Macaca fascicularis: one gene and its partner. The protein of the gene in region 1 interacts with the protein of each later gene in a pairwise test. Links are inferred from orthologs where the notes say so. Each region holds a gene or a part of one and is shown on either strand. Other genes may lie near its edges.

The links. The genes of interacting proteins can lie anywhere in the genome.
Region 2: the proteins of UBE2K (region 1) and RNF114 interact in binary tests that used the Homo sapiens proteins (3 or more experiments, as listed by UniProt). The link is inferred for Macaca fascicularis from reciprocal best matches to the Homo sapiens genes UBE2K and RNF114.

What each region holds. Positions count from the first base shown.
Region 1 is NC_088379.1:38,998,838-39,004,043, forward strand, and holds the start of UBE2K (ubiquitin-conjugating enzyme E2 K), read left to right. Parts: upstream 1-1,786; 5' UTR 1,787-1,801; coding exon 1,802-1,875; intron 1,876-5,206. UniProt on the Homo sapiens protein: Accepts ubiquitin from the E1 complex and catalyzes its covalent attachment to other proteins. In vitro, in the presence or in the absence of BRCA1-BARD1 E3 ubiquitin-protein ligase complex, catalyzes the synthesis of 'Lys-48'-linked polyubiquitin chains.
Region 2 is NC_088384.1:106,026,775-106,031,508, forward strand, and holds part of RNF114 (E3 ubiquitin-protein ligase RNF114), read left to right. Parts: intron 1-3,001; coding exon 3,002-3,108; intron 3,109-3,755; coding exon 3,756-3,870; intron 3,871-4,734. UniProt on the Homo sapiens protein: E3 ubiquitin-protein ligase that promotes the ubiquitination of various substrates. In turn, participates in the regulation of many biological processes including cell cycle, apoptosis, osteoclastogenesis as well as innate or adaptive immunity.

The DNA.
Region 1 (5,206 bases):
AAAAACTATACACTTTTTTTTTTTTTTTTTTGAGACAGAGTCTCGCTCTGTCGCCCAGGCTGGAGTGCAGTGGCCGGATCTCAGCCCACTGCAAGCTCCGCCTCCCGGGTTTACGCCATTCTCCTGCCTCAGCCTCCCAAGTAGCTGGGACTACAGGCGCCCGCCCCCTCGCCCGGCTAGTTTTTTGTATTTTTAGTAGAGACGGGGTTTCACCATGTTAGCCAGGATGGTCTCGATCTCCTGACCTTGTGATCCGCCCGTCTCGGCCTCCCGAAGTGCTGGGATTACAGGCTTGAGCCACCGCGCCCGGCCCACTTTTTTTTTTTTTTTTGAGACGGAGTCTCCGTCTGTCGCCCATGCTGGAGTACAATGGCGCAATCTTGGCTCGCTGCAACCTCTGCCTCCCGGGTTCAAGCAGTTCTCCTGTCTCAGCCTCCTGAGTAGCTGGGATTACAGGCATGTGCCACCATGCCTGAGGGTTTTTTGTTTTTTTTTTTTGGTATTTTTTGTATTTTTAGTAGAGACGGGTTTCACTATATTAGCCAGGCTGGTCTCGAACTCCTGACCTTGTGATTTTGCCGCCTTGGCCTCCCAAAGTGTTGGGATTACAGGCGTGAGCCACTGCACCTGGGCTTTTTTTTTTTTTTTTTTTTTTTTTTTTTTTTGAGACAGAGTCTCGCTCTGTCGTCCAGGCTGGAGTATGGTGGCACAATCTCAGCTCACCATGGTCTCTGCCTCCCGGGTTCAAGTGACCCTCGTGCCTCAGCCTCCTGAGTAGCTGGTATTACAGGTGCACCCTACCACGCCCAGTTAATGTTTTGTATTGTTAGTAGAGACAGGGTTTTACCATGTTGGCCAGGCTGGTCTTGAACCCCTGACCTCAAGTGATCCAACTGCCTCGGCCTCCCAAAGTGCTGGGATTACAGGCATGAGCCACCACTGCCCAGCCAAGACTATATACTCTTATTTCCCAGTGAATACATTATTGACAGTTTTTGAAAATACTGACTGTAGCCCCAAAAAGCTTAACTGGTTGGAGATACAGGGCAGACAAAGGATAGATAAAAATGGTAGGGGCAAAGAGTAAATGCTATGGGATTCTAAGGGTATCTGTATGAGTGAGATTCCTTTTTGTTGTTGTTTTGTTTTTGAGAAGGAGTCTCGGCTCTGTCACCCAGCCTGGAGTGCAGTGGCTTGATCTTGCTCACTGCAACCTTCGCCTCCCAGGTTCAACCAATGCCTCAGCCTCCGGAATGGCTGGAATCCCGGGATTACAGGCATGCGCCACCCTGCCCAGCTAATTTTTTTTTTTTTTTTTTTTTTTTTTTTGAGACAGAGTCTCGCTCTGTTGCTCAGGCTGGAGTGCAGTGGTGCGCAATCTCAGCTCACTGCAGGCTCCGCCTTCCGGGTTCACGCCATTCTCCTGCCTCAGCCTCCCGAGTAGCTGGGACTACAGGCACCCGCCACCAGGCCCGGCTAATTTGTTGTATTTTTTTAGTAGAGATGGGGTTTCACCATGTTGGCCAGGATGGTCTCGGTCTCCTGACCTCGTGATCAGCCTGCTTTGGCCTCCCAAAGTGCTGAGATTACAGGTGTGAGCCACCGCGCCCGGGCACTACACCCTGCTAATTTTTGTAGTTTTAATAGAGGCAGGGTTTCACTATATTGGCCAGGCTGGTCTCAAACTCCTGACCTCAGATGATCTGCCTGCCTCGGCCTCCCAAAGTGCTGGGCTTACATGGTGAGCCACCATGCCTGGCATGCCTGGACTTTTTTTTTTTTTTTTTTTTTTTTTTTTCAGATGGAATCTCGCTCTGTCACCCTGGCTGGAGTCCAGTTGCATGATCCAAGCTCTCTGCAGCCTCCGCCTCCCAGGTTAAGTGGTTCTCCTGCCTCAGCCTCCCAAGTAGCTGGGACTACAGGCGCACCCCACCATGCCCAACTAATTTTTTATATTGTTAGTAGAGACAGGGTTTTATGATGTCGGCCAGGCTGGTCTCAAACTCCTGACCTCAAGTGATCCACCTGCCTCGCTCTTCCAAAGTGATGAGATTACAAGTGTGAGCCACCATGCCCAGCCAAGACTATGTACTCTTATTTCCCAGTGAATACATTATTGATAGTTACTGAACATGTTGACCACAGCCCCAAAAGGCTTACTGGTTGGAGATACAGGACAGACAAAGGATAGATAAAAATGGGAGGGGCAAAGAGTAAATGCTATGGGATTCTGAGGGTATTTGAATGAGGGAGGTTCTTTTTTGTTTTTGTTTTGTTTTGAGTCAGAGTCTCTGTCGCCCAGCCTGGAGTACAGTGGCTTGATCTTGGCTCACTGCAACCTCCACCTCCTGGCTTCAAGTGATTCTCAGGCCTCAGCCTCCGGAATGGCTGGAATCACAGGCATGCGCCACCACACCTGGCTAATTTTTTGTATTTTTAGTAGAGACTGGATTTCACCATGTGGCCAGGCTGGTCTCACACTCCTGACCTCAAGTGATCTGGCTGTCTTGGCCTCCCAAAGTGCTGGGCTTACACGCATGAGCCACCCGACCTGGAGTTTTTTTGTTTTGTTTTGTTTGAGATGGAAACTCACTCTCACCCAGGCTGGAGTGCGGTGGCGTGATTTTGGCTCACTGCAGCTTCTGCTTCCCAGGTCAGGTAGTTCTACTGCTTGACCCAGTAGCTGGGATTATAGGCACGTGCCACCACACCCAGCTAATTTTCCTATTTTTAGTAGAGATGGGGTTTCTAGCCAGGCTGGTCTCGAACTCCTGACCTCAGGTGATCCGCCTGCCTTGGCTTCTGAAAGTGCTGGGATTACAGGCGTGAGCCATCGTGCCCGGGCTGTATGACTGTATGAGGGGGGTTCTTGAGCTAGGTGCTTTTTGTTGTTGTTGTTGTTGTTGAGACGGGGTCTCCCTCATTCGCCCAGGAGCACAGTCATAGCTCACTGCAGCCTTGACCTCCTGGGTTCTAGCAAGCCTTCCACCTCAGCCTCCCAAGTAGCTGGGTCTACAGGTACGTGCTGCCACACCCAGCTAGTTTTTACTTTTTGTAGAGATGGGGTCTCACTATGTTGCCCAGGCTGGTCTTGAACTCCTGGCTTCACACAGTCCTTCTGCCTCAGCTTCCCAACGTTCTGGGATTATAGGCATGAGCCACCTCACCCAGCCTTCTTGAGCTGAGGAAAGTTAAGACTGACCTCAAATTTCAGGAGACAGTCCCAAAGGAATTGTGGTAATATTGCGATTCTTTTTTTTTTCCCCCCCGAGACAGAGTTTTGCTCTTGTTGCCCAGGCTGGAGTGCAATGGCGCAATCTCGGCTCATTGCAACCTCTGTCTCCTGGGTTCAAGCGATTCTCCTGCCTCAGCCTCCTGAGTAGCTGGGATTACAGGCATGCACCACCAAGCTCAGCTAATTTTGTATTTTTAGTAGAGACCGAGTTTCTCCATGGTGGTCGATCAGGCTGTTCTTGAACTCCCGAACTCAGATGATCTGCCAGCGTTGGCCTCCCAAAGTGTTGGGATTGCAGGTGTGAGCCACCACGCCTGGCTGAAATTCTTAAGTAAATAAACTTTTCTCTAGGCACATGAATTGGAACTATGGAACAAAGAGATTATTGATGCACTTATTCAAGAAACACATTTACATATGTAGAACAGAAAGGTTGCACAGCTCTTATATACTCAAACATAGTTGTAGAGTTAGATCATGTTCTTAACTTTCTTCATAGTTACCTTTTGGGGAGGAAAACCACCCTTTTTCATATTAAAGTAAAACGTGTACATAATAAAGTGTGACTGGCATCCAAATCAAGAAACAGACCCTTCCCAGTACCATAGGAATCCTCCTTCCTTTCTAGTTACTTTCCTGACTTCTAATAACAGATTAGTTTTGAGTATGTTTGAGTAAAAGAACAGATGTGAGTATATGTTACGTATTTTAAGTTGGAAAGTTTTCAAAAGATGCTGTTCAAAATCTGTTAAGAAAAATATAGTGTCTTAGAAAATGTACTAAAATGTATTGAATTTCAGTGCTGAAATAGATCTAGGCCAAACTCCTCATCTATAAAATCAGGAAACTGAGGCCCAAGGAGGTTGATTGTTCCTCAGAGAAACAGCTGGTTAATGGTTGAACCCAGGCTTTTTGCATACCAGTTTAGTCATAATAAGTAGTTGGTTTGTGGGAATATCCTTTTCATAAACGATAGTGTAAAAGCTGACTGCTAATACAACTTTACAGAAGGAGATAACAATGCAGTATTATTTAAATGTGTCTTTTCTTTTCCCCCTCTTAGTATGAGAACTTAAACTTGCCAAGGAGGTAGAGATTTTTAACTCCTGAAGCATAATTTAGTGAAGTTAGCTTAGTAATTAAGAGCATGGGCTTTATAATTAGATTTGCTTTGAGTCCTGGCTTTTCTTCTTAAAACCTGAAGTACTGGCTCTGTATCTCGATTATCTTTATCTGTAAAAACTGTGGGAAGATTAAGAGTGTCTTTACAGTGCTTAGAATAACCTTGGGACATAATTAAACAGATAGCTGTTAGATGTCAGAAGTAGCTATGTTTTCATATTCTGTTGTGCTTATTGTTCTTGAATTATAAAGGTATTGTTCAATGGTTTAGTGATTACTGGATGTAAATATGCCTCAAGAAAAGCTCAATATGAGGGCTATGGTACTTCTAATAGTGTTTCTTTGTCACCTGTGTGCAAATAATCCATGGGGCTGGTAGCCAAGTAGTCCACCCTTATCTGCAGTTTCATTCTCTGCAGTTTCAGTTACCCACTGTCAACCATCGTCCAAAAATAAGTGAGTATAGTACAATAAGGTATTTGAGAGAGCACATTCACATAATTTTTATTACAGTATATTGTTATAATTACTCTATTCTATTATTGTTAATCTCTTACTGTGTTTAATTTATAAATTAAACCTTATCATAGGTATGTACATATAGGAAAAAACGTATAGGGTCAGTACTATCCGTGGTTTCAAGCATCCAATAGGGATCTTGGAGTGTGTCCCCTGTGGATAAGAGGGGATATATTAATACAGAGGAATATATGTGGGCTCTGTTCTCCAGATGTGATTTATTTAATCTTTCTTTAGGAGACAGTTATAAATTGGAGAAAAGTTTGTGTTAAAATGTTACCTTCCTGAATGAAAAAGTTTATTTGGGAAACTCTCAAATGATATAGAGAT
Region 2 (4,734 bases), on another chromosome or scaffold:
ATTTTCATACGTGTTATAACTGCTACTGGAAAGGAGAAATACTGTTGTCTTATTTTCCAAGAGATATTCACAGCCTTGTTGATTTTAGAATCATTAAAATTTTTTAAATTGCAGACCATACAAAAATACACAATAATGTAGGCTTGTTCCTCATTCCAGAGATTATTTTAAAATGGTTCAATTTAAGGCCTGGCAAGGTAGTTCATGCCTGTAATCCCAACATTTTGGGAGGCCGAGGTGGGTGGATTGCTTGAGTCCAGGAGTTCTGGACCAACCTGGATAACATGGTGAAACCTCAGCTCTACTGAAAATACAAAAAACTAGCAGGGCATGGTGGTGTGTGCCTGTAGTCTCAGCTATTCGGGAGGCTCAGGTGAGAGGATGGCTTGAGCCCAGGGGGCAGACATTGCAGTGAGCTGAGTTCTCACCACTGCACTCCAACCTGGGCGATAGAGCTGGACTTTTTTTTGTCTCAAGAAAAAAAAAGTGATTCAGTTTCGAAAGCTACATAACATTTTCTGCCCTTTGACAAATTTTTACCAAAAGTTGGTAAAAACTGTAGAATGTTTACCAACCCAGTTGTAGAATTTTTGCAAAATGAGATCACACTATAATATATATGTTTCTTCAACTTTTTTCACTTGTTTAAATGTACATTCATTCCCAACTTTTTTTTCACTTTCAGTTTTTTTTTCCTCTTACATATTGGACAGCCTTGCATGTCAGTTTCATTATTTTTAACACTTCGGTATGGATGCCCATAGTATGAATATACCTTACCATCTCCTTTTCAGGGTGATTTAGTATTAGCGATGCATAGTAGGACCATTTTAATGCTGAATAGGGCTATTTTCTATATCTTAATTGGGGGCTTCACTATTGAGGCTGGGCATGGTGGCTTATGCCTGTAATCCTATCACTTGGAGAGGCCAAGGTAAGAGAATCACTTGAGCCCAGGAGTTCGAAATCAGTCTGGGCAGCATAGTGGGACACTGTATATACCAAAACAAGCCAACAAACAAAACTAGCTGTGTGTAGTGGTGTCTGCATGTAGTCCCAGCTCCTTGGGAGGCTGAGGTGGGAAGATTGCTTGAGCCCAGGAGTTTGAGAGCAGCCTGGGGAATATAGTGGACCCAGTTTCTACAAAAAAAAAATTGGGGATTTCTCAGTTTGTAGCTTAAAGTCAAGTTCTTTAACTGGAGGTGAGACAATCATCATGGTAAGCTGGAGCTCCAATCTTGGAGCATTTTTCCCCCTTTGAAGTTTACTTTTAGAAACTCAAGATACTGAATTACAGTTTCCTACTGCCTTTTTTTTTTTTTTTTTTTTTTTGAGACGGAGTCTCACTCTGTCGCCCAGGCTGGAGTGCAGTGGCATGATCTCGGCTCACTGCAAACTCCGCCTGTTGGGTTCACACCATTCTCCTGCCTCAGCCTCTGGAGTAGCTGGGACTACAGGTGCCTGCCACCACGCGCAGATATATATATATGTATACATATATATGTATATATCTCTTGTTTTGTTTTGTTTTGTATTTTTAGTAGAGGCAGGGTTTCACCGTGTTAGCCAGGATGGTCTCGATCTCCTGACCTTGTGATCCGCCCACCTCGGCCTCCCAAAGTGCTGGGATTACAGGTGTCAGCCACTGCACCCGGTCTCTTCATCTTTATTTATGCATGCATAATGTGGTTTTTGGTTTGGTTTTGTTTTGTTTTTTGAGACGGAGTCTGACTTTGTTGCCCGGGCTGGAGTGCAATGGTGTGGTCTCGGCTCACTGCAACCTCTGCCTCCCTGGCTCAAACCATCCTCCCACCTCAGCCTCTCAAGTAGCTGGCACCACAGGCATGTGTCACCACGCCCACCTAATTTTTTTTGTATTTTTAGTAGAGACAGAGTTTTCATGTTGCCCATGCTGATCTGAAACTTGGGAGTGCAAAGTGATGGTCCACCTCAGCCTCCCTCAGGATTACAGGTGTGAGCCACCACGCTCCACCCATGATGGGCTTTTTGTTTGTTTTACTGTGTGCTTTTGCTTTTCTCCATTTTCAAGATTAGTTATTGTATGGTTGGCATGCCTCTAAAAATGTTTTTCTTTCCTCCCTCTTTTCTTCAATTCTTAAAACTTTCTTTCTTTTTAGAAAACCTGTAATGAAGCATTATTCTCTGGGTTTTCTTCTCTTTCTGTTTTACTATTGCACAGCCTAGATTTTATGTGAAAGGTTGGGCTGGGCATGGTAGCTCACACCTGTTAGCCCAGCACTTTGGGAGGCCAAGGCAGGCATATCACTTGAGGTCAGGAGTTCGAGACCATCCTGGCTAACACGGTGAAACTCCATCTCTACTAAAAATATGGAAATTAGCTGGGCATGATGGCACACGCCTGTAACCCCAGCTACTCAGGAGGCTGAGGTGGGAGAATCACTTGAACCCGGGAGGCGGAGGTTGCAGTGAGCCAAGATGGTGCCACTGCACTTCAGTCTGGACAACAGAGTGAGTGAGACTCCGTCTCAAAAAAAAAAAAGAATTTAGATTTTAAAGATTATTTCTCAGAGTCTGGTGATTGATACTTTAATCAGGGTTGGTGGCTTTTATACGTTTTACCTAAATGATCACTTTTCTCTGCTGCACATAACAGAACGTGGTTTTTGGTTTGCTATAAGGAGACTAGTTTAAATGCTACTATAGAAAACTTTTAACAACATCCTAGATTTGGAACTTGTCTGTGAGCACACAGCCTGTCATGAATAGGAGCAAACCTCTAGAAGAGTTATTTTAGAGTGGAAGCGGATATCCTGATTTAGTCAAATAAAATAGCAGCCTTGTTATTAATGGGAAATCTGCAATAATCAGGGTTTCAGCCCCATCAGCATAGTCAGGAGTCTGGTGAGATTATTTGCCAGGGTGGTGTAGGTCTAGTTTTCTTTGCGCCCTTGTTTGGGACTACATTTGGCCTGTTACAAGGTCCTCACTAACTTGTGGGCTCTGATTCTTCCTATTTGAGTTCTTCCTATCCAAGATCCGGTCCCACGTGGCTACTTGTTCCAAATACCAGAATTACATCATGGAAGGTGTGAAGGCCACCATTAAGGATGCATCTCTTCAGCCAAGGTAAATGACTCAGTCTCCCCTTAGGTGGAGGTCATCTCTTGCTATTAATACAAAGAGGTTGGACACCTTGCATGGTCAGGGGTTTAGTTGTATGAATTGTTATGCTGGCTAAAGCTGATACAAGTATTTTGGGAGGAGTATGCAAGGGAGGACTCTGGTGTTCACTTCAGATGTTAGCTGAGCTATTCTTTTTTTCTTTTTTGAGATGGAGTCTCGCTCTGTTGTCTGGGCTGGAGTGCAGTCGCGCAATCTCAGCTCACTGCAATCTCTGCCTCCCGGGTTCAAGAGATTCTCCTGCCTCAGTCTCCCGAGTAGCTGGGATTACAGGCACCTGCCAGTAATCCTGACTAAATTTTATATTTTTTAGTAGAGACAGGGTTTCGCCATGTTGGCCAGGCTAGTCTTGAACTCCTGACCTCAGGTGATCCTCCTGCCTTGGCCTATTGGGATTACAGGTGTGAATCACCATGTCCGGCTAGCTGAGCTGTTGTCTTCAGAACACTTGATCTGAGTCTAAAGTGATCATCAGCGTCCTTGTCGTTACACATTCGGTGAGCTTTGCTCCTTTTGGGAGTGTACTGTGGTTGAAGTTTAATGGAAAGGTACTCACAGAAAAATGTTCTTTTTTCCTGTCTTTCACCTTCCAGGAATGTTCCAAACCGTTACACCTTTCCTTGTCCTTACTGTCCTGAGAAGAACTTTGATCAGGAAGGACTTGTGGAACACTGCAAATTATTCCATAGCACGGATACCAAATCTGTGGTAAGAGTAACCTTTTTTTTTTTCTCTTAAACTTTATTATGGGAAAGGATCAAGCTTGGAGAAAAATGATGGGATTAGTAAAATGAACTCCTGTGTGCCCTACACCTAGATTCACAGATTGTTAACATTTTACCATATTTGCTTAACCATGCTCTATAATACACACTTTTTGCTGACCACTTGGGAATAAGCTACAGATACCATGACTTTTTTGCACCCTGAATAGTTTGCACCCTGATACAGTAGTGTGTATGTCTTAAGAACAAGAGTGTTTTCCTGGAAAATTATATTTTTGTGTGTATAATCATATTCAAGAAATTTAACATTGATACAATCTAATATCTAACATAAAATTCATGTTTTAATTTTAACAATGGTAATGTCCTTCATAGCAATTTTCCCCTCCCCCCAAAGCAGAGGCAGGGATGGTACATGAGTTCTCTGGGTGCTACATTAAGTCATGTGATGTCTATTGTTGCTAACATTAACTTGGATCCCTTGGTATCCACCAAATTTCTCCATGAAGCTTTTGGAAGTAACTTCTTCGTATTTGTGGGGAAAGAGGATTTAGGTGAAATTATTAGGAAAAGGCTTATCAATCCTTGGACATTTTACTCAGATATCACTGACTGGCATGTGTAGTCTCCTTTTAAAAAAAAAAAAAAAAAACATAGGCCGGGCACGGTGGCTCACACTTGTAATCCCAGCACTTTGGGAGGCCAAGGCGGGTGGATCACTTGAGGTCAGGAGTTCCAGATCAGCCTGGCTAACATAGTGAAACCCCATCTCTACTAAAAATACAAAAATTAGCCAGGCATGGTGGTACGCGCCTTTAATCCCAGCTACTTGGGAGGCTGAGGCATG